2 linked regions of the Caenorhabditis elegans genome follow. The protein of the gene in region 2 interacts with the protein of the main gene of each other region in a pairwise test. Each region holds a gene or a part of one and is shown on either strand. Other genes may lie near its edges.

The links.
Region 1: the proteins of B0303.7 (region 2) and dyn-1 interact in a two-hybrid assay, tested with the Caenorhabditis elegans proteins (2 studies listed by BioGRID).

What each region holds. Positions count from the first base shown.
Region 1 is NC_003284.9:15,565,847-15,576,162, reverse strand, and holds dyn-1 (Dynamin), read right to left. Parts: upstream 7,243-10,316; coding exon 7,076-7,242; intron 7,011-7,075; coding exon 6,787-7,010; intron 6,606-6,786; coding exon 5,999-6,605; intron 5,954-5,998; coding exon 5,450-5,953; intron 5,403-5,449; coding exon 5,127-5,402; intron 4,593-5,126; coding exon 4,313-4,592; intron 4,209-4,312; coding exon 3,823-4,208; intron 3,650-3,822; coding exon of another isoform or gene 3,601-3,649; exon of another isoform or gene 3,568-3,600; intron 3,287-3,567; coding exon 3,214-3,286; downstream 1-3,213.
Region 2 is NC_003281.10:8,687,795-8,699,621, reverse strand, and holds B0303.7 (SH3 domain-containing protein), read right to left. Parts: upstream 6,001-11,827; 5' UTR 5,968-6,000; coding exon 5,880-5,967; intron 2,678-5,879; exon of another isoform or gene 2,572-2,677; coding exon of another isoform or gene 2,562-2,571; intron 2,264-2,561; coding exon 1,907-2,263; intron 1,640-1,906; coding exon 1,394-1,639; intron 1,272-1,393; coding exon 1,090-1,271; intron 1,037-1,089; coding exon 428-1,036; 3' UTR 101-427; downstream 1-100. Other genes in the region: sdz-1 (Skn-1 dependent zygotic transcript 1 protein), read left to right, coding at 1-56; B0303.4 (transmembrane and ubiquitin-like domain-containing family 1 protein), read right to left, coding at 6,678-6,880, 6,932-7,420, 7,884-8,414, 8,681-8,735, 8,784-8,880, 8,942-9,070, 9,118-9,287, 9,374-9,508 and 1 more; hadb-1 (putative 3-ketoacyl-CoA thiolase), read left to right, coding at 11,459-11,630, 11,680-11,827.

The sequences.
Region 1 (10,316 bases), on a different chromosome or scaffold from region 2:
TTCCATTTCACGCTTAGTTTTATTGAGTTTTCCGTTTTCTGAAAATTAGTTTCAATGGGTTTTTGAAATGTGACGTCATCTTAGAAAAACCGGAGAAGGTCATTTAAATTTTCAGAAAAACAGAAAACTACAAAAAATGATGGGTCTGGGACATCAGCCATACGAAATTTTTTTCAAAATTTTAAATAAAATTTAAAAAAATAATAAAACATTTTTTAGACTTATTTTCTATATATAATATAACTTTAAAGTAGGGATTAAAATTTTCAAACAAATGTTTTTCTTCCATTATTTTTGTAATAAAAATTGAAACATAGACAAGTCCAACCCAGAGCGAGGAAAAAAAATAATGATCGGGATAAAAAACGTTGTTTGCTGATTTGTTGGCGGATGACACAACACAACGGCAAGTGCTCGATGAGTATCGAAAATATGCTGCTGCTGGGTTGCTCCAACTACTGCTGAGGTTGTGCTGTGCTACTCCTGTGCCAGAAGAAACTGCGCCGTCATCACTTTACACACCATTCTTGCTGCCGAAGAGAAATGGCACTGCTGGATGAAGAAGAGGAAGAGAAGGCGGGTGCAGAAGAGGAGTAGATGAAAAGATTCGTTTCTCCTACTTTTTCAATCACCAATCGATAAGCAACTAGAGTCTCAAGTCCAAGAGTCACTTTAATGATGATGGCGAAACGACGCAAAAACAGGAGAAGCAAAGTTCAGAAGGAAATGGGGGGGATCAATCAAATGTTACTTTTGACCTGAGTTTTTTATACTGTTCAATGTATTTAAAAGTGTGACATGGGTTGGCACAGTGATAAGTATTCAAGAGAGTTTCACAATATGAACTCGTGGTGTCAGAGTGTCTCATTTCGGTTTGATCTACAAATATCTACAAAAAATGCGGGAGTTGAGACACAGAGTTCTTAACTGATTTAAATGGCTAAAAACGTGCTGACGTCTCATTTTTTGGGCAAAATTTGTAAGTCAAACCGTAACAACCTGACACCACGTGTATGAAGTATTTCAAAAAAAATGAATGGAATCTTGAACAAAAACCTTTGAAAACTTCGGTAAAATTGTTTTACCCTCAAAATTCGTGAAGGGAAATATTCTAATCTTCTGTTTTGTATCCAAAAACTAATCCGAGTTTTTAGATTCTTTCTCCTAGCCTTCGTTTTTTATCCATAGAGGTAATAAAAATGTTGCAAGCTTTTATAACAAAAAAAATATTAAAAGGTAAAATCATTCTTTTCTATGTATACTCAACGTGCCAGTTGTTGACTTATGACACATTTGAAATTAAATGGGTGCAAACAGACAACTTCTACAAAATTTTAAAATGTAGTGCTCGTGAAAAAGTTATTAAAATTTAAGAAATACAAAGCACCATTTTTTATTCTGATTCTGAAGGGTTTGAACGAATTCACAAGTTTCCTGAAACTCACAAACAAAGTATAATGTAAAATTGCAAAATCGTTAGTAGCCACACTGAAAGAGACTACATAAAATGAGAAACGGATATGGGAAATTTTCAACTTTTAAGCAGTCGTCATGTACGTGTTCGACATGTTCTTTTATGTTCCCGAACCATTAAGTGTCAGCAACTACGCTGATCAAATGAAACCTAAAGTCACTAACCGTCATCAATTGAAAAATTAGTTTTCATTTAAGTAATAAACTGGCTGGCGTTCAGTTGAACGGATGGTTCCATCAACAAGTATGCAATTTCGACGAGTTCTTTGGTATTTGATATCGTTATAACAAAAGTATGCCAGAATTGTAGTTCTGCGTTGACAACGATTCTGACGAGATCTAAAATTTTAAATCGGAAACATTTATTAAATTTTTAGTACCTACTCACCAGCGCCAAAAACATGTTACATTGCTACTTATTAGAGTTTGGCATATTGAGGGTTTATCTGCGAAGCTTGAGGATATGGATTAAAAAACTTCTATTTGTTTTAAGTATCAATTGAAAAGGTTCCTTTTTTTAAATGTACAAGCGCAGCAATACACATATAATAATTTTCAAATAAAGTTCTCGTTTTAGTACATGCTTTAAGTTTTAAATGGGTTCTTTTCAAAAGTGCCAAATTTTGTCAAGTTTTCAAAGTCTTTTTTCAAGTTTTTTTCAATGTCTTAGCAACCGGAATTTTCTAATATCTTTTCTTCATTGTGGATTTTTTAACCATTAATTGTTTAAGGTATATTTTCCGTTTATAGGTGCACCAATTCACTATCATTTGTTCATCTTTCGAAAGAAAACATATACCTACCAATCAATGAAGAAAATAAACGTAATAAATTACCAAAATGTGATTACAAATGATAATTATTTTCAAGATTGCTTCCGACCGCTGCAAACCAAACAATTTCACAAAAATTAGGGATTTTTCCAAGAATAAACAGACTTTCCTACATCTACATTTATAGGGCCAATGTTTTGCACAAAACTAATACTACATTTTTCCGTTTTAACTTTATTCCACTTTCACGAATAAATACAAATTCTACACAATACGTTTCAAAAATCTATAATTTAGGCTTTTTCAGATCATTCTTCTCAACGAGGGAAAACCTAGAAGAGCTTATAATCTAAGAAAAATCTATAAATATATTTACTTCTTATAAATATGGGCTTAAAATAATCAAAACTGGGATTTGTGGTGGAGGGGGAATTGGGTGGGATGAAGAAAGAACCTACAAATGCACTAAAAGAGTTTATACATTGGGTGGCCATAAAGAACATCTAAATAAATATAGGCAGACTGGGGGGGGGGGGTTATTGTAAGTGACAAAGTATTGCTATAGAAGAGTAGGAAAAATGTAAAGTTTCAAATCATAGAAAAAATAAAATCAATAAATTATTGAACAAAGTGAGTTTATAAAACATGCAAATAAAATTATTGGGAGGTGGGGGAAAAAAAGAGAAATAGGACTCGATTGGTTGTGGAAAATTCGCCGCTGACAAAGAAAAACACAGTTGGAACGGGAGAGAGAATGGAGAGGTGGATGAATTGACGCCTAGTTAGCGCTGGGACCAATGCAATCCTCAACGAGACTTGCTCAAAAGGTGGAAGAACTCGGGATATTGATTAATTTAAAAATTCTCAAAAAAAAAAAAGAAATGCTTGATAAAACGGGGGCATTGTACAATTACTATGGGAACGGTAATAGTATGACAAGTGAGCTAGGATGGAGATGTAAAAGCATTTAGAAAGGTCTCTTGGGGACTTGCGGGCGAGCTGGAATCTCTGGTGCTCCGTTGGATGGTGTCGGTACTCTTCTGAAAAAAAAAACAACGTTTCAGATTAATACTACAACAACAGAAAGCTAGACCACCATTGAAACATGCAAATAATGACGAAATTATGAAAAATTTGATGAGAAAGAAAAGTTAGCTTTTGCTTCTTTCTGTAGAAAAAATCACAGGAAGATAGTGGAATATAAAAATGTTCCGATAAAGTGCCAAGGGATCACAACACTAGATAGATGCTGCTAATACACATCACGATTACAACAAACAATTATACACTTCTCTGTACTGCTTCTTCGCGATTAACAAACCTTTGGTCAGTGGGGGAATTATTCACAACATTATTATCTAGGCGGTGCCATGTTGGGTGGTGGGCCGCCTGGTCCCGGACGCCTAGAGTGGTTGGTACACGTTAGTTTTAGGTTTTATTCTGACTTGTTGACAGTATTTTTTTTTCTAAATTTCAGAAAAAAAATTTTGACAGAAGAAAGAGTATGACGGACCAAAATAGGAAAGATTAGAAGAGATCTGGTGCTCTTTTCGAAAAAAAATAGGCATAAACTTACGTTGGAATCAACGGTGGGTACATGCCACCGCCGCCTCCTGGCGCACCTGGTGGTGGTCTCATGCCTGGTGGTGGTGGGGCACCGGGTCCTCCGCGTGGTGGCATTGGGGCCTGACGTCCGCCTGGTGGAGCAGGAGCCGGACGCGGCACCGGTGAAGGTCCAGATGGGTGTGGGCGGTAGTCAGACATCGGCAATGGCGGCGGCTGGTCGCCAAGGGTGCTCATGTTGACTTCAGAGATAATGCGGAGCGCCTCCTTGCAAGCATGGTACATTCGGAGCATCTCCTCGCGCTTCTGGGCTTCTATTTGAGATTCCTCCATGAGAGCATCAGTGTCGCCGCATTGGTAGAGATGGGCCAAAAGTTCATCTTTCATGAACTCACCTGTCTGAAATTATTGAGATATTTAGTTTAAGGTTTATTGTGTACGGTTAAAAAAACAGGCCGTGATGATATCACGATGAATCATTCAATTCTTTTAAAATCCCTCACCTGGTTAACAATCAAATGCATCACCGCCTTTGGAACCAGGTCCTTAATTGTCTTGGTAATGATTCTCATGTAGGAATCAACCAAATTACGGATTGTCTCCACCTGTCTCTCAAGTTGTGGATCAATCGAGGTATCCTCCATCTCTTGTTGGGACTCATCTTCCTGTGCCTTCTGCTTTTCTGGATAGACACCAGCACGCAAGAATGAAGCCTTCCACGCATCAATTTCGTCCAAATTGGTGCATCCCAACTCAAGCTGCTTGTAATCCTTGTAGATGTTCCTGGAATTCAAAGGGTTATGGGAGAAGCAAGTGCGTGAGGTCAAGGATACATGAGTTTACATCTTCATGCTGGTTCAGAATCTTTTATCTAAAAAGCATTTTGCATGCTGTATTTTTTTTTGTCTGAACTGAAACTGTCACAGCAGAGAAAGAGAAACAGGAAAAATAAGAAATTGACTACAGAAGTGAAAGGTGTTGGTTTCAAGGTGGATAAACTTTTCGGGTAAAAAAAATGAAAACAGATCACAAGGACGACAACACAAAGGTTTTTCTGTCTTACAAGTCATTAAAGAAGAAGAAGAAGTGAAGAAAGTAAACTATACACTCACCTCCTGCAAATTAATTTAATTTAAACAAATATTCAAAAAAAATTGATTTTGTGTGTGTGTGCGTTTTTTGTCTCGTTTCAAAACTCATGCTCAATTTAGTGTTCCTGTGTTTCTGCCTAATGAAACTCTAATGTGGAAAGAAAAGCGTGCGGGCTCTTGGAATGTTGAAATGGCAATCAAATCGCAAAATTCTTGAGTAACTCACTTTCCGTCGGGGTAGAACAGAGCAAACTTGTGGTTACGAGACATAAATCCACCCTCAATATCCTTCAGCTTGACACCATCCAATGGGAGCATGTACTTCTTCTCCTTCTCCTCATCATCTTTGTACCAACTCAAACTGTCCGACATGAGCACAAACCAATTGTCCTTGGAGCCACGCACAAACGATACGTTGCTCAGTGAGAGCCAGCCCTTTCTGATCACCTGGTTTCCAAGATTCTTCTTCGCTGATTGTCCTTGGGAGGCTTTTGCTTCAGCACTAAAAAAATAAAATTAAACATCTAAAAGCAAAGTCTAAACTCCTACTTGCTGAATCCAATGAAATCCTCATGGTTTGTGTTCATATAAGCGAGTTCGTAGTCAACAATGAGCCCAATTTGCTGCTTGGCAATTTGCTCACGTTCACGCATATGCGAGACGACGATTCTTTCCAGCTCGTCACGAAGACGTGGATATCTAGCCATAGTGTCAGCGCACTGTCTGATCACATTAGCCAACTCGTTGACCACCAGATCAACGCATTTCAACGATGGCTCCTTCAGACGGGTGATTTGCTTTTTGGCAATTGCCTCAAACGCCATATCCGGAGTGAAGAGACCGACGCGGATACCGTGAATGTTTCTGATGGCATACTGGATTTCTTTGCGCATTTCTTTCTCGTCAATTTCCATTTTAACAATCTCAAATGGGAAACGCTCATGGAAAAGCCGATTGATACGGGCTCCTCCACTGAGCTCATTGGTTGAAACCAGCTTTGCAGAGGAACCTTCAATGGAGCGCTCAATGTCAGCATTGAACTGGGTAACCATTCTGCAAAAATTTTGTTAATAAAGCACCTCCATTGAAATCACTTACTGCAAAAGAGCCTTGGTCTTGCGGCCTGGATCATTTGGCTGGTAGTTCTTGTACTCGGCCACATCCTTTTCCATAGCAAACATCTTCTTTTGAAGACTATCACGAAGTGTTGGCAGTGTATCACGGATATGATTGGTGAGCTGTTGATTAAGAGTGTGTTGAAGGTAGCTTGTTCCCAACCGATCAGCCATATGTCGGTAGGATGGGTGTGAGATGAAGAACTTTCTCTCGGCGTCCAAAGCAGCTCTAATATCCTTGCGACCGACAATATCCTTCTGCCCACGATTGACAACTCCGACGTAGCCACGACGAAGTGTGAACAGCTTGTTCTCGAGGATCTCGCGAGCATCGGTTCCCTCGTCCATCAAGTCAAGTTTGGTGAGGACTCCAATCGTGCGAAGACCCTGTGGATCGACTTCCTTCGCAAGTTTCAACGCATCCGAAGTGGCGAGATCGCTGTTGGCCGGAGTGACGGCAAGAATGAGGCAAGTCTCACGGTTGATGAATGTGAGAATCATGTCACGGATCTGTTGCTCAATATCTGCTGGTTGATCTCCGACGGGCACTTTTGTGAGACCGGGCAAATCGATGAGTGTCAGATTTAGAACTGAAAAATTAAGTATGAATTAATTAAAATGTGTGAATTTTTCCAGTGATTTTGTGCAACTCACTGTAAATTTATGAAATCTTTAATGCAATTTAAATTTTAAAAAAAGTTGCATAAGTCTGGTTTCAGATGCTCAAATCATCCAGCGCACTTGCGTTTCTGTGAGTTTCTAAATGCTTACCATTTGGAGAAAAGACACGCAAGTTGATTGGATGTGGACTGATTCCCTTATTCTGTCCAGTGACACGATCAGTCTCATCCTCAATCTCTTTCCGAACTGCATCAAAATCCACAAAGCGATGACCCTTCTTGTGTAGGAACTCGGCGTACTCATTGCGATCTTGAATAAGCTGCAAAATAAGTGGACGACGTGTTACGATTCCTGATCCACGTGGCAAGAAGTCTCTGGAAAGGAAAAAAATTGTGATTTTATTTCGCAAAGTTATGTTTTTTTTCTTCTTGTGACTCACTTTCCGACAAAATTCTCCAGCACCGACGACTTTCCAGCGGACTGTCCTCCGACGACGGCGATCTGTGGAAGTTCGAAGCTGACAGATGTGCCCAGCTGGGAGAAGGCGTCCTGGACACGATTGATCACAGGGATCAACGCCTGCATTCCCTGGTTTTGCCACGACATGGCTGATCCTGGTGGTTATACGCTGAACTACCTGAAAATCGATTTTTTTAGTCGATTAATGATATGAGGAAGAGCATTGAGAAGATTTAATGGAAAAAGCACGATTTCGCAATGAGGTTTTCGGAGGTTTAATAATTATGTTTTAGAATGAAATTTATCACCTTCAAGAATATAGAATATAAAATTAGAAAAAAAAATCCTCAAATCGCATTTGAAAAAACAAAATCAACAAATATTCAGAATCATTGTCGGCAAAACGGTGTTGAATGTTTGGAAAACAAGAAGAAGAAACGATCGGCGTACAAAAAAGCGCGGAGAGACTCGGAGATGCAGAGACTAAAAGTGAGGGTGAGGCAAACGAAATGACCGCAGTGAGTCAGCCTCGCAGTCAGTACTGCGGCGGGGAGAGAAAAAGGCTTGGCCAGCGACGGCGGAGAGCGTGCCAACACACACTCATCGCAAAACGCGTCAGCAGTAACCACGACAAGAAATTTCTTTTCACGAGGAATTTTATGAAGAATTTGGAGGCTTGTTTAATGAAAATATTGGAAAAAAACAGAAGGTTGTTAGATGCAAAAAAAAACTAAACGGGACACATTTGAAAAAGAAAATCCAAATAAGTAGTGGAGGAGAAATGAAAAATGAAAAAGTGGAAAACAAAGCGAACAGTTTTGGATTGCCGAAAACCAGAATTTGGCGGGTAGATCAATTCATTGTAAATGTTGTGAAATAGTGGTGTGGAGAGGGTGGCAGCCGGCCACCCTTCTGTTTGTAGTCTAACCACCTGCGTCTCTCAACTTACCTGCTATCTCGCTGGAAACGTGTGAATGGAAGTTAGTGAGCAAATAACATCGTTTCTTTAATAAAAAGAGGCAGACTTTAAAAATTTTTTTTATTGAGAATGGAAATGAGATGGATGACCTTTGGAAATTATGCAAAATAAAAATAAAATAAAATATTTCAAAATTGTGAAACTTTTACAACAGTCCGATCAGTACCGTAGGAAGAAAAGAAAAATCGTCATCTTAGCAAATATCGAGTCACAATTGTGACCAGAAATCATGATTAGTAAGAAGGTTTTTCCACGTTCTATTTGTTTATTAGAGACGAGGAAATTCATTTAGTCCAATTTGTTTAAACAAAATATGGAATTCATTATGATATTATAATTTGTAGAGAATTGTCGTATGTTCATGATTGTTAAATTGTATCACAGTTTTTCTTCTTTTTTTTTCAAGACAGGGTAGTACTGCAAATTTTTTTGGCAGATCTTTAAACCCGCCCGATTCGAAATAATCATCAAGCTCTAACACAGATAGATTGAACATATATATATGCATATCATAAATATGAAAAATATACTCATTTTCATTTAAAAAGTTGGGATTAAAAATAACGGCTTCAAATACTCCCTGAAAATTGTCACTTGCAGTAAAAACTGATGTTCGATTTTCTGACCAAAGGCGATTCTCTAGCAGGATTCAAGGTTTCTTTTCAAGTTTTATAGCAGAAACACAACATTTCAACCAGATATTACTTCAAAATTTTATTTCTGCTAATTTGGAAACTTGGATATTAATTCCGAAATTAACAGATTTGTAGGTTTCCAAACAAATTCCAGTTACTTCCTATTAGAAAATTTTACTAAGAACCAGCGGTGTGTAAACAAATAACGAATTTAACATTCCCATACTACTCCTGATAATGAATTTGTGACTAATCAGTTGATGTACAATGATTTCATATGCTCTGAAATTTATAAAACATTTATAAAACATGGTTTAAAAGTATTGAAAATCTAGCAAAATAGCTCAATTGATTTTTTTAATTGTAAAGCAAAACAGAACATGGAATAAATAACAGCTGAGTTTTTTGTTGTCCCTTCACTCCATAGCGAGCAAAGCAGGCTGAGGAGAATATCAAGGAAGAAAAAGAAAACAAAAACGGAAAACGAAGAATAAGAATAAGAAAAAGAAAGAAAAACGAAGCAGAAAGAAGGAAAAAAGAAAAAGGAAGGAGGCGTTTTCGATTAGTCGATATTCTGCTATGTATGTGTGCTGCGCACTGCTACTCGGCAGGGGCCCCCCCCCCCCGCGCGCACATTTTTCGCGTATGTACATATTCTCGCACACAGGGAGAGCAAAAGCAGAAGAAGAAAAGCAAGACGTGTGTGTTAGAGCTCCCGACCGCAGTTTGAAGCTCTTTCTGCCCTCTTTCTCTTGGCTCCACAAAAAAAAACGCGGAGCACTGACGGCGCCGATGACGACGTCGTGGTCCGGGAGGCTTGCTAAGCCAAACTCACAGAATAAACGACAAAAGGAAAAGGAAGAGAAGAAAGTTTTTGTTTTCGTTCCAAATCTAACCAGTGTCTAGATATATATTTTGTTAACAAAGTATTTGAAATTGCATAGTGACGGACGGATAGCTGGACTGAAAAAAAACTGGAAAAAACAAATATTTTTCGACATACAATTATTTTCAAAGCTAAATTTACACAATATGCAATAGGAAATTTTCAAATATCTATTGAAAACTGTGCCATTGAGTTCTAGAACACTGCTCACAAGTGTGTTAGTATCAAAAATTTTGAAGAGACCTCTGCAAGACAACATTTTTATAAATTAAGCGTTATAAAAACCACATTCACATTCATAGAGCCATGAAATGTGCTTAACAATAATTTTTGTATTCTCACATCCTTGTAAAACAAACTGTCATCTATACTTAAAAGTGGAGTAGCGCCACGGGGGAAAGTGTTAAAAACTACTTCTATGGTGCCAAACTAACCGAATATCACAATAAAACTTTTCAAAAATATTTTGAAAATTTTTTATTTACTGTCAAAATGTGACAATTACAAAATTTTGGCAATTTTCCTAAACTTTGACCGGATATTTTGAAAAATCTAAAATTTTTTGGAGTGTTTTATTATGATATTCGGTTGTTTTGGATCAGTATAAGTGTATTTAGACAAAATCCCCACTGGCGCTACTCCACCTTTAAACGCGCTATCCATTCTGGTTAAGGATACCAGGAGCAGTTCATGTTTATACATTTAAGACTCAACTTAGAGT
Region 2 (11,827 bases):
ATTTGGATGCACCAAGCCGATTTTTCTCGTCTACTAAAATTGAATGTGTCGTATAAATATTTGAATAATCGAACCTACATAATATTACGTTCATCATATTGTAACAAATTCTTCAAATTCATTATTCTCCTCAATAAATTTACTTTAACATTTTTCTGAAGTTTTGGAAGTTCACAAAATAACTATTATAGTAACGCAGAGAAATGAGCTATTTGAAATTGATCTACAAACGTTAATTGGAAACGCTAGGCCCACACTTGATAAGGCAATTTATTGAAAATACATTTCTAGAAAATTTGACAATCGGCACAAAACACGCATCGGGGAAAATTTGAATTTTGTAAATAAATGACATATTAGAAAATACAAAAAACTGGCACATATAAAGCTAGAAAGTGAATTTAGTGAGAAATAATCAAGACCAGAATCAATTTTCCAATTTGACAATATTCTTTGGCAGAATACCCGCTGGCAAAGTCTTGAAAGCTTCCAATTTTCCCTTGTAATAGTAGTCATCAACATCTTCCACAATCAATAAATGATCGCCACGTGTCACATAAAGATGTTTGGGATCTTCGGAATGATAGTCACCAGTGGCAACTGCCTTCTTCGGAGAGAATGCACATGCAATTTCAGCGATTCCTTTTGACGGTGCCTTCTTTGGAGATCCGTATGGTGGTCCCAAGAAGGTCTTCGGAACCATTCCCTGTTGTCCACGACATTCTGCGAGCAACCATTGAGCATCAATGTCTTCCAGGGCTGTGATGACGTCACCTTCGAATAATCGGAGGTCAGAAGCAACTCCAGAATCGTAATCATAAGATACAGTAACGGTTTGTTTGGGACCACTATTGTTTGTAATTGGATGAGAATAAGATGGAGCAGATGATGGAGCTGATTGTTTCATTGGAACTTGATAAAGATTTGGACAATCCACAAATTGAGATGGAAAGATTCCTGATCTACCAAAGCATTCACCTTCTAGCCATTCTTCATTTACACGAGCTGTTACCATAATTTGTGATCCGACAGCGAACTGAAAGAACATTCAGATTTACAAATATTTTTAGATGTCTTTTAAAAACTCACATTCAAATCTCCAGCTTCGTTCGAATTATAGTCATAGATTGCAGTTGCATATGTGCCTGAAGATGATCCAGATGGAGCTGCTGGTCGTGGAGGCAGAGCTGTGAAAGCTTCTTTCAATGGGATCTTGATGTCAAGGTAGGATGATGGAACAATTCCAAATGTGCGCTGGTTTTGATTCTCACCTGAAACAATGGAAGATTATGTATTGAGTAACTAAGTTTCAAACATTTAATGCGATTGTTTCTGCAAAAATCGAGAACATCTCCTCTTACTCCATATAAAAATTAATTTGAAATCAACTAACCATAAAACCACTCCGCATCCACTTTTTTAGAAATTAAAACCGTATCCCCAATTCTCAATCCCATCTCATCAGATTGTGTCGGAGCGTAATCAAACTTGGCAATTCCATAAGGAGTACTGATGGCTGGTGCCGAATAAGACGGGATTGATTGTGTATGACGTGGCACTGGAGGCGGGGCAACTGGTGCAGATGAAGAGTAAGAAGATGTTGAGTTGGATTGATACGATGGAGTTGCAGTAGAAGAATCTGAAATTTTAGAACTTTTTGAAGAAAAAAATAGTCGGTAGGCATGTCTCCAGATATTCCCTTGCCTGTTTACATTTGTACCTTCCGCCTACTTCCGGCAGTTAACTCGATATTAACTCGACATTTATCAGAATATCCAAGCTTTTTGGAAAATTTGGCAATTTACCAAAACGTTAGCTATAAATTTTGAAACATCTAAAACTTCGGAGTGTTTTATTTTGATAATCTTTTGTTTGATCTGTTTTTTTTTAATCTTTCAAAACTCACTGCTTGACATCACCGATCCTCCGATATGCATATTTTCCAATTGTGATCTAATTGCAGAATGTGATCCAGAAAGTTTTCCAGGCGATGTTCCTCCTCGATGTGGTGGTGGTGGTGGAACTGAATCAGACTTTCGATTAGCATCAGCAACTGCAAATGCAGCTGAGATCTTATTTCCACCACTTGGGTCCTTGACAGCATTCAACACTGCTCCACGTGCCTTCTCATCTTGTGCAACATTTTTAGCTGTTTGTCTGACGAATGGATTCTTGGCGGCTGCGATTGCGGCATTCCGAACCTCTGGTCTTTTGGCTGACTCGAATAATGCCTTGGCGGCTGAGACTGAGAAGGTACTGGTATCTGGAAATATGGTTTACTAAATAGATAGGATATGAAAATAAACAAAGCTTGGTTTATTTGAAATGGAGCCTTAACTAATGTTATCACTTGGTTCATAAAAAAAGTTGGCGTAATTGTTTTTCAAATCAAGTTTTATCTGGCCTATAGGCAGGCAGGTAGGCATTTCCTGCTTTCATGGGAGTCAGAATTTTAGCTAGAACTTATGTAGTTATATAATATCTAAATATCGTCTTCAAGAAATCCTTACTCTCAGGACATTTAGATAATACGAAACTGTAAATAAATTTTCAAATCTTACCTTTTGACATGAAAATTGAGCACCAGCCCGAACAAAAGAGCGTGAGAAACCCTAAAACTGCCAGAAAAAGAAATAAAAAGAATGAGAACTGGGGAAATCGATGGATGGAAGAAAAAGGAAAAAGACTAGGAATACGAGAGAGTGTATAAGTTATAGAAACGCAGACAGATAGGCAATGGAAACTCTTGTGTTTGCCGAGAGAATGAGAGAAAGTGACGAATGTATGTTGTGACTAGACACACCTCGGACACATATTTCGACAAATCATTGAAAAAAGACACGTCATTCGAGCATGAGTCATCATAGCTTTCCAGAGCATCCTGTTATTTCTTCTTTTATTGTTTTAAATAGATAAAATATACAGTGTGGGAAAGTTCTATAGGACCCCCCCTAATTTGAAGGTTTGAGGAACTTCCGAAAATTTTTTTGAAAAACTGCTAATGCCATTCGTTTTTAAATTGAAAAAAACCTATATACATTTTTTTCCAGAAGTTTATCTCAAAAACTGAGGTCGCGCTGGAAAAAACGTCAAAATCCAGTGTGAAACTTCTATAGGACCCCCCGTTTTTTTTCACGATTTTTACTAAAATCAACAGATTTTGGAATTTTTGACAAAGCTCAAATCAAGTTTGAGTTAGAAATGAGTTCAGATAAGCAGTTTTGACTTTAAAAAATTAATACGAAATGTTCTCGTGGGATCTCCAGACTGGTTCTGATTCTTCCGATCTTTGATGTTCAAGTCTGTTTCAAGCTTCCTGGTGCTCTCGGTAATGCCAAAACTTGATAAACTCTCTTTAACAAGTTCCTACTAAAATTCCTAGCACACACACCATAAACATTTTTACGCCATCCCCAAGAAACCAGTCAGAAACAGCGTATTAACAAGTTGCAGTTATTTTTGATCAACAACAGAACATTCATATACTAAAATCAAGAAAGGATCAATAGTTAATCGGGTTTCCTTGTGTGCGGATGATCTCAATCAGTCTGTCCTCCATTGATCTGACCAAACTTTTCAGCTGGTTGTCCGGAATAGACTTCCAAGCGTCGAGAATTCCTTGCTTCAACGATGCAACTGTTGGGTAAGTCTTGTTCTGAGCATACACGATACGGACAAGAATCCCCCACAAATTTTCGATTGGATTGAGATCAGGACTTCGAGCTGGCCAATCAAGAAGGTTGATCTTCTTGAGCTTGAAATAGTCGCGGGTTGAGTTGCTCACATGGATTGTCGCATTATCCTGCTGAAATCTAAAGTCTTTTCTGGAGTAGTGACGAAGATATTTGGAGAGCTCCAGTTCCAAGACGTTCTGATAGTCAGTGCTGTTCATCTTGCTACTGACGAACTGTATCTCAAGCTTCTTCTTCTCCGTGAACGCTCCCCAAACCATCACCGTTCCTCCTCCAAAATTACGTCTCGAAAAAACCATTGGTTCCTTGCGCAAATCGCGCCAATAGTAGCGGCAACCGTCAGGCCCATCGAGATTGAATTTCTTTTCATCGGAGAAGACAACCTAAAACAATGATCCTAATTATTCACTCTTGCTTTTTTAAATTCTCACTTTACTCCAATTCGTTCCCATATTGTTCTTAGCAAATTCCAATCGCTTGAGTTTATGGTCTGCAGAGAGTAACGGAGCAGGGCGAAGTTTCTGACGAACGATTACACCAGATCGTTTGATGACATTGAGGATGGTCCTTTTTGAAGCAGACAATTGAAGCTCATTGCGAATATCTCTTGCCGTCTTACAGGAGTTGGAGGCAGCACGAATCACATTTCGTTCGTCACGCACGGAGAGAGCTTTGCGACGAGGAGCTCTTTTAGATGTACCGTAGCTCACCGGATCCTTCAGATACTCGCGAATACAGTGTCGAGAACGGGAAATTTTCCTACTCATTTCATGCAGGGACACATTGAGCAATTTCATAACATCCAGCTGAGCGCGTTCAGTGTCCGAAAGGGCAGATCCTCGAGGCATTGCAAGTTAGACTGCTTTCGAAGTAAGCTTTCCAGCCTCTATATGTGTGCCACAACACATGCCACAATTCCACATTTAATAATTCACGCAAAAAATAGTAAATAACATCTGTGAGGGACAATTTAACTTGAAATATTGGTCCCATGGAACCTTGTAATCAAAGAAAAACGATTTGATTCCTGATAAGCCTTCCATTGTTTCCTGCTGCATATTTTGCCAAATCAGCTTGACTACACAGTCGAAACATCTAAAGTGCGTGCTAGGAATTTTAGTAGGAACTTGTTAAAGAGAGTTTATCAAGTTTTTGCATTACCGAGAGCACCAGGAAGCTTGAAACAGACTTGAACATCAAAGATCGGAAGAATCAGAACCAGTCTGGAGATCCCACGAGAACATTTCGTATTAATTTTTAAAGTCAAAACTGCTTATCTGAACTCATTTCTAACTCAAACTTGATTTGAGCTTTGTCAAAAATTCCAAAATCTGTTGATTTTAGTAAAAATCGTGAAAAAAAACGGGGGGTCCTATAGAAGTTTCACACTGGATTTTGACGTTTTTTCCAGCGCGACCTCAGTTTTTGAGATAAACTTCTGGAAAAAAATGTATATAGGTTTTTTTCAATTTAAAAACGAACGGCATTAGCAGTTTTTCGAAAAAATTTTCGGAAGTTCCTCAAACCTTCAAATTAGGGGGGGTCCTATAGAACTTTCCCACACTGTATATTGCAAGATTTCCTATAATTATCTACATACTGACAAGTGCGAGAACCTTTTCTTGGCTCCAAAACGAAAAATCTATGAACAATATGTGGAAATTTTGTGGTAATTGTGACAGCAAATGTTTTTTAATGAAATTTAAAAAAAATTTCAATATTTTCCAACTTATCAAATTATATTACCCATATGCCAAAAATAGATGCCTGGTCTCGACACGACAAATGCTTGCTGGATTCAAAAGAATATGCGCCTTTAAGGGGTACTGTAATTTCAGACTTTCGTTGCAGAAAATTACAGTACTCCTGAAAGGCACATATTCTTTATCACTATTAAAAAATTAGTCGTCTCAACTTTTCCGATAAAGCTGCCGTAGGAATTTACATTTTCGTGTCTGCCTCTAGCCTTACTGCCTACATACCTGCCTACCGCCTATTTTTGCGAATTTTGCCGTTCGCTCGCAGATCCTGCTTTCAGGTTAATTAAATTTATCTCAAAATTATAATTTCGAAAAGTGGTTTTTTTTTTCATTTAAAAATACATCGAAATTATTTTTAGAATTAATTATTTCTCTAAAAATCTCACAAACATCTGAAAATCAGCATAAAGTTTAAAAAAAAACTTACCAATATTCTCATTTATTCCATTTGAATTTCCAGATGTCCCACATATATTAGGCTTCCGTGGTGGCGTTGGAGGTGGTAGCCTTACCATTATTCTCAATGTTGGAGCAACTATCTATCTGGGTGGAAAAGTGAATCCAAAGGGGGTCTTGAAGGGTTTATTTGCCTCCAACTTTTCTCCATATTTACTCAACTCAATTGTGCTGCTGCCTTCTTCGAAGTTTACAATCAAACATCCTTTAGCACTGTATTTTTTGTAGTCCACAATTGTATAAAAGCTACCAATTTATTACTAGTGAAGTATCTAATGATGATGCAAAAGAAAGATGAAAAACAAGAACCGAGTCAAATATACACAGAACACACGGACGGGGTGGGGGGAATAAGAATTATTGAATAAAATTTCGCAGTATTCGATGTGTGTATGTTTGGATCTTCTCATCCTCTGTCTGATCCGTTTCAAGTGGAAAATTTTGAAAAAAAAACCAAGTGTTTTGATACCCATTTTGTGTGCAATTTTGTTGTGGCTAGAATCATAATGGTTTCGATTTGAAGTGTACAAGAATCTGAAAATTGAAAAATCTATTGCTGAATAAAAACAACTATTTATTTGTTAGCTTTTTAATCGAAACTCAATTTTAAAGCAAAAATTAATATTTCTGGTTTTTTTTCGAAAGCTTTTTTCAAAAGAAAATAAATTCATAACTTTTTCGTTTTCAATTAATTAAAAAGTTTTTTTGAAGTAAATTTAATTTATTTTTCCTAATAAATAAAAACTCACTGTGAAATATAAATTAAAATTTACAGAAGACGAATAGTCTCCTGGACGATTTGATTTTCCATCATTTCATTTTGAACCTCAACAGGATCCGGTTGGCGTCGTCGCTGACGTGAATAAACCACAAAAACGAAGTAAAGAAATACAATAATGAAGATCGAAAAGCCGACTCGATCAAATACATCTGGAAAGTAGTACAGAAATATGCTCACTGCGACCATTTGACCTGTAATAAATATTGCGTTTTGACGTGTTTTTTTTTGAAAATTAGAATCACCTCCAAAAATCCAAAATAATGTTGAAGTTTGCAAATGAGTTTCCTGATCATCATCATCTTGTTCCAACAATCCATTATCAACAAGTAAATTGCATACCCATTGGCTAATCGTCAGAAGTGTGGCTGGCCGAAGTAGATCTCGAATTCGATCAGGACGGAAAAATGCCAATCCAATTCCAGAAAGAATTGGAACCATTGTTGATAAAAGTAAATAGATCTGTCCAACATTTCTGTCCTGCGCAGCTCTTCTTCTTGCTGTTGTAACATTCTCATCAACTACTGGAACACTTTCCGACGGCATTGGAGTTGTGTCACGTGGAGCTCTGACGGATCTTCGAGGTCTTCGTCGAAAACCATTATTGACAATTGGAGGAAGAGTTGCTATTCCTGGTCGTGTATATGGTGTTGTACTAATATGACAATGAACTATACTTCCTGGTTGAAGACCATATTCTTCTAGCGTTCGATGATCTTCTCTGAGAAGTTGGCCTGAAAAATTCAGTTAAAAATTATTTAGGCTTGAAGAAAAGACTTTTAATTTTTTCAAATAGTTTTTTTTAATATTCATTTTTCCATTTGATTTTCAGGATTATGAGCCAGTGGTATTAAATTTTGGGAATTCTATAAAACTTTCAACTGTGGCACGTTTTCACAATTTTTCCAATCTATCAAATTATCAACAAAATAAATTGCGGTCGATAGGTACATTTTTGTGTCTTTCAACGAATACTTTAGATATAGGCCAATAAAATTGTGTTCTATATTTTCAGAAATTTTATGGAATTCGCAAAAAATAATCGTTAGATCTTTGTTTTCACTTATTTTTTATCATTTTTGAAATATTTTTTAAAAAGCTTTTTTGCCAAATGCCAAACATTTGTTTTCATTAATTTTTTTAAACTTTAAAATACATTACTAACTGTTTTTACTTTACATAAAAAATTAAAGATACCTTGATAAATGAGCCGTATGACCTGATTCGCAAGATTTGTGAAATGATCTACTTTGAACTTTGCTACAGTATCCTCCAGTGATGCATACGTGTTTTTCTCGGTATCATTCATAAACTTTAGCTTTATCAAAATCTTCCCTTCTGATGGTCCTTCGATTACTGGAAATTCGGATTCTTTAGTTTCTTGAAGAACTTGCTCCGGTTGAGCTTCTACTTCTTGATCATCCAGTGGCGGATCCTCATTTTGCTCAACTTCGACTTGCTCAATTTCTTCAATAGGACCTCCTCTATCAATTTCAATTTCAGTTTCTTCATCATCATCTTGACCTTCTTCTTCTTCATGATCTTCTATTATTGCATCATCTGAACTATCGTCATCGTCATCCTCTTCATCATCTTCTTCCTGTTGATCTATCACAATATCTTCTGTAAGCTCTGGTGTATCAGCGAACACTTGATTTGTTGGAGGCTGAGTTTGTGTTACATTTGACGTTCTTGTTGAAAGATGATGTTGCATATCCGGGTTTATTGCTGAAAATCCATACATTTTTAATTTTCAGGCGGGGATTTTACTTTTAATTATAAAAAAGGCCGGAATGACCGAATGTAACTGTTAAAAAATTAAGAAACTGATTCTAATTTTTTAAATGAATTAGTTTCATCTCTTCTCTAATTTTCAGGCTTTTCCTACAAAAAATTGAAAATAAATATTAAATTGTCGATTTTATGTCATATTTGAAGTTTTAGCTAAAATTGTTCGGGTAAAGTTTCGAAAAAAAGCAATATGAAAAACTTACATGGAGTCGTATACGTAACGTCTGTAGTAACGTAATCATGTCGTGAAGAATTTTCCTGAACCAAAATAAATTATTTTAAAATCAATTTTTTTTCTTCATTTACGCTGGGTCTCGACTCATCAACTCGAGTATTTCCAGATCGTTCTGTTGGTGGACGAAGTTGAGGCCTGTACGTTCGAGACATCAAAGATGCGTCGTCTCTGGAAAAATACAGAATTTTTGAATGTTTTAAACCTTAAATTAAACTTTTTAAAAACTAACCCTCTAGCTAAAATTGCTATCGCCGCTGCAGCAGCATACTGACTATCCCTTGTGGCGTCAGGCACGTGACCAGCACTCGGTGGCGGCATTTCAATGTCCCATAATGTTATTAGGTCAACGTCTGGTGATCTGGAATTGGAAATATTAAACATTTGAATACATTTTTAAAAGTAAACCTTGCAGGAGCTGGTGAATCAATAACCGTATTCGGCGACTGTATCACAATATTTGTATCAGAAATTGCCACTCTTTGCTCTCCTTGAATTCGTGGAGCTCTTGCCCTCATTCGTTGAACTAATCGTTCCCATGTGACGGGCGGTGTGAACTCTTGACCGAGATGAAGAACCTGTATTTTGAAGTTTAGAAATTTATTCGAAATTTTCCAATAGTGTTTTTCGTTTTTTTTTTCTTTTAATATTTAAATAAAATTACCTGCACCATCCTCCTAGTTGTCCAAGTGTGCATTTCTACAACAAATAAGTTATAATATAAAGGCCTTCGAGCAGAGATTTGATATGATAAAAGTGCACATGCTATGATGATTAATATTGCGACGACTGTGCTTAGCTGAAAATAGTTTTTTTTAGATTTGAAGTTAAACAATTTCAATTTGACACTTTTTCATAACAATGAAAAAATGGGAAAAGGGTTCAAAAAATCAATAAATGTTCAACTTACCTCTAAATATTCGAGTGCAGATTTAACAATTAATGCATTCATTTTTGTCTAGTTGTGTTGTCTGGAATAATGAAGAATAAAGTGAAGAATAATATGAAATCAGATGATGCTTGAGAGACTGAGAGAAATAAAGAGAAGCGTGTTGGTTAAAATGTTCCTTGGCGCAGAGAATCGATACGTGAAAGCGCACTAATCGACGGGCAATTGCACGCTTTTTTAGGAAAACAACCTTTTTGTTAAATTTTATAAAAAGAATTTAAAATTTGTTTTTTCAGAAATTATTTTTGTGAAAAAAAACTATTTAGCCTGTAAGAAAGTAGTATTTATAAAGAGGCGAAATGAGAGAGTAGATTAGAAAAAGAATTCGAAAGAAGATAAGAATCGAAAAAGGTGTTGAGTGAAGTGAAAAAAGAAAGGAAAAATGAATTAATTGTATTTGTTGTGATATTTGTGATTTTGCTATTAATTTATGTACCTCAAAATGAATTTGGCAAACTTTTAAACGAAAAGTATTCGAATTAGAGAAAAACTTTTGAGAAAAAGTGGGAAAAAACTAGAAAAATAACAATGGAACAGATCTTTTCGTTAAAAAAAATTTAATTTCCATTTCTCCCTTCCAGCTGGTTATTGCAAACGCTGCGAGACCCAACGTCAGACATACGCTTATGTGCCTTTAATACCGTAGTACACCCGATAAGCGCGAGAGTTTATTTTATTTATCAAAACTTTTTTTTCAACATTTTTCATCAGAATATCTTGATTTTATTTGATATTTCCTCGATTTTTTGTATAAATATACTAAAATAACAAAAGACTAACAAAATTTGCATTCCTCTACGCTTAAAATTTACTTAACCAACGAAATAATTTGAGATAAACGAGAAAATGTGTAAAATATTTAGGAGTTTAATATTATATTTATTTTGAACCACCGAGAAATGTTTGATACATTTTTGAGAAGTCTTAATACGAAATTCGTTTATTTTGGCACATATTGAGCCTATACAAGCGCTAAACCCAGAACCGTTCGTCCTCCTTCAAATAACTTTCTCTCAGCTCAAATTAAACTGCCCGTAATTTTTCCCATCCTGCCTTTTTCCAAACCCATACCACGTTTTCCTGTTCAATTTGCACCTCGTGTCTGTAAAATTAGTTATCTACCCGTAGCCTACATAGAGAATTTATCAAGGTACAAAGTCCAGACGGACGGACGGGCGGCGCATGGGAGGCCACAACAGCCAGGTTTTCTTGTTGTGTTCGTCTCGTCTCCTCCTCTCATCACTTATTATCTTGTGTGTTGGTGACCTACACTATATCTATCGATTGTGTATTTGTTTTCTAGTTTGATTATTTCTTTTTGGATTTTAACATTTTGAACTTTCTTTCTTCAGCTTTTAAGAATTTTTTTTTGTGAACTTTGTAGTATATATTTTTTTCTTTTCTGATCGGCCACGTTTCTTTTTTTTAAATGTTTCTCTAAATTCTTGGTTTTTCAATGTAGAAATTATTTAAATTCATTTCATTTTTTGATCCGTTGCTTTTGTTCTGCTGTCGTTTCAAATAGAGTAAGTCTGGTTTAATATTCTCAAAAATCAAGAAAGGGTGTAAAATTATTCTGCTGTGTTCTTTCAAAGGAGAGGGAAAATACTTTGTCCCCTTCTGTCCGTAGGCAATGATGAAATGATAAGAGTACACGTAGCGAACCAAATTTGATTCCATATTTGTTTTTTGTTCTCTTTCGTACGTTAAATTATTTTCTTGAACGCATTTTTTGTTCTTTGGAGATTTATTCTCAAAAATAAACCACCTCCAAAATTAAATCTGATTTCTTTTCAGAAGATGCTCCGCGCAGTTAGCACTTCGTTCGGGACTGCTCGTGCCGCTTCGGCAGTCGCCAAGAAAAATATGCCAAATATTGTACTTGTCGATGCAGTTCGTACTCCATTTGTCGTTTCTGGAACTGTTTTCAAGGATTTAATGGCTGTTGACTTACAGAAAGAAGCTATCAAGGGTTTGTATAGAAATTTGTAAATAAGGAAAATTAATTTTTCATTTTTCAGCACTAGTGGAGAAGACAAAGCTGCCATATGAACAACTCGATCACATTATTTGTGGAACAGTTATTCAAGAATGCAAGACCAGTAACATTGCTAGAGAAGCTGCTCTTCTCGCTGGTGTTCCAGATAAGATCCCAGCTCACACTGTCAC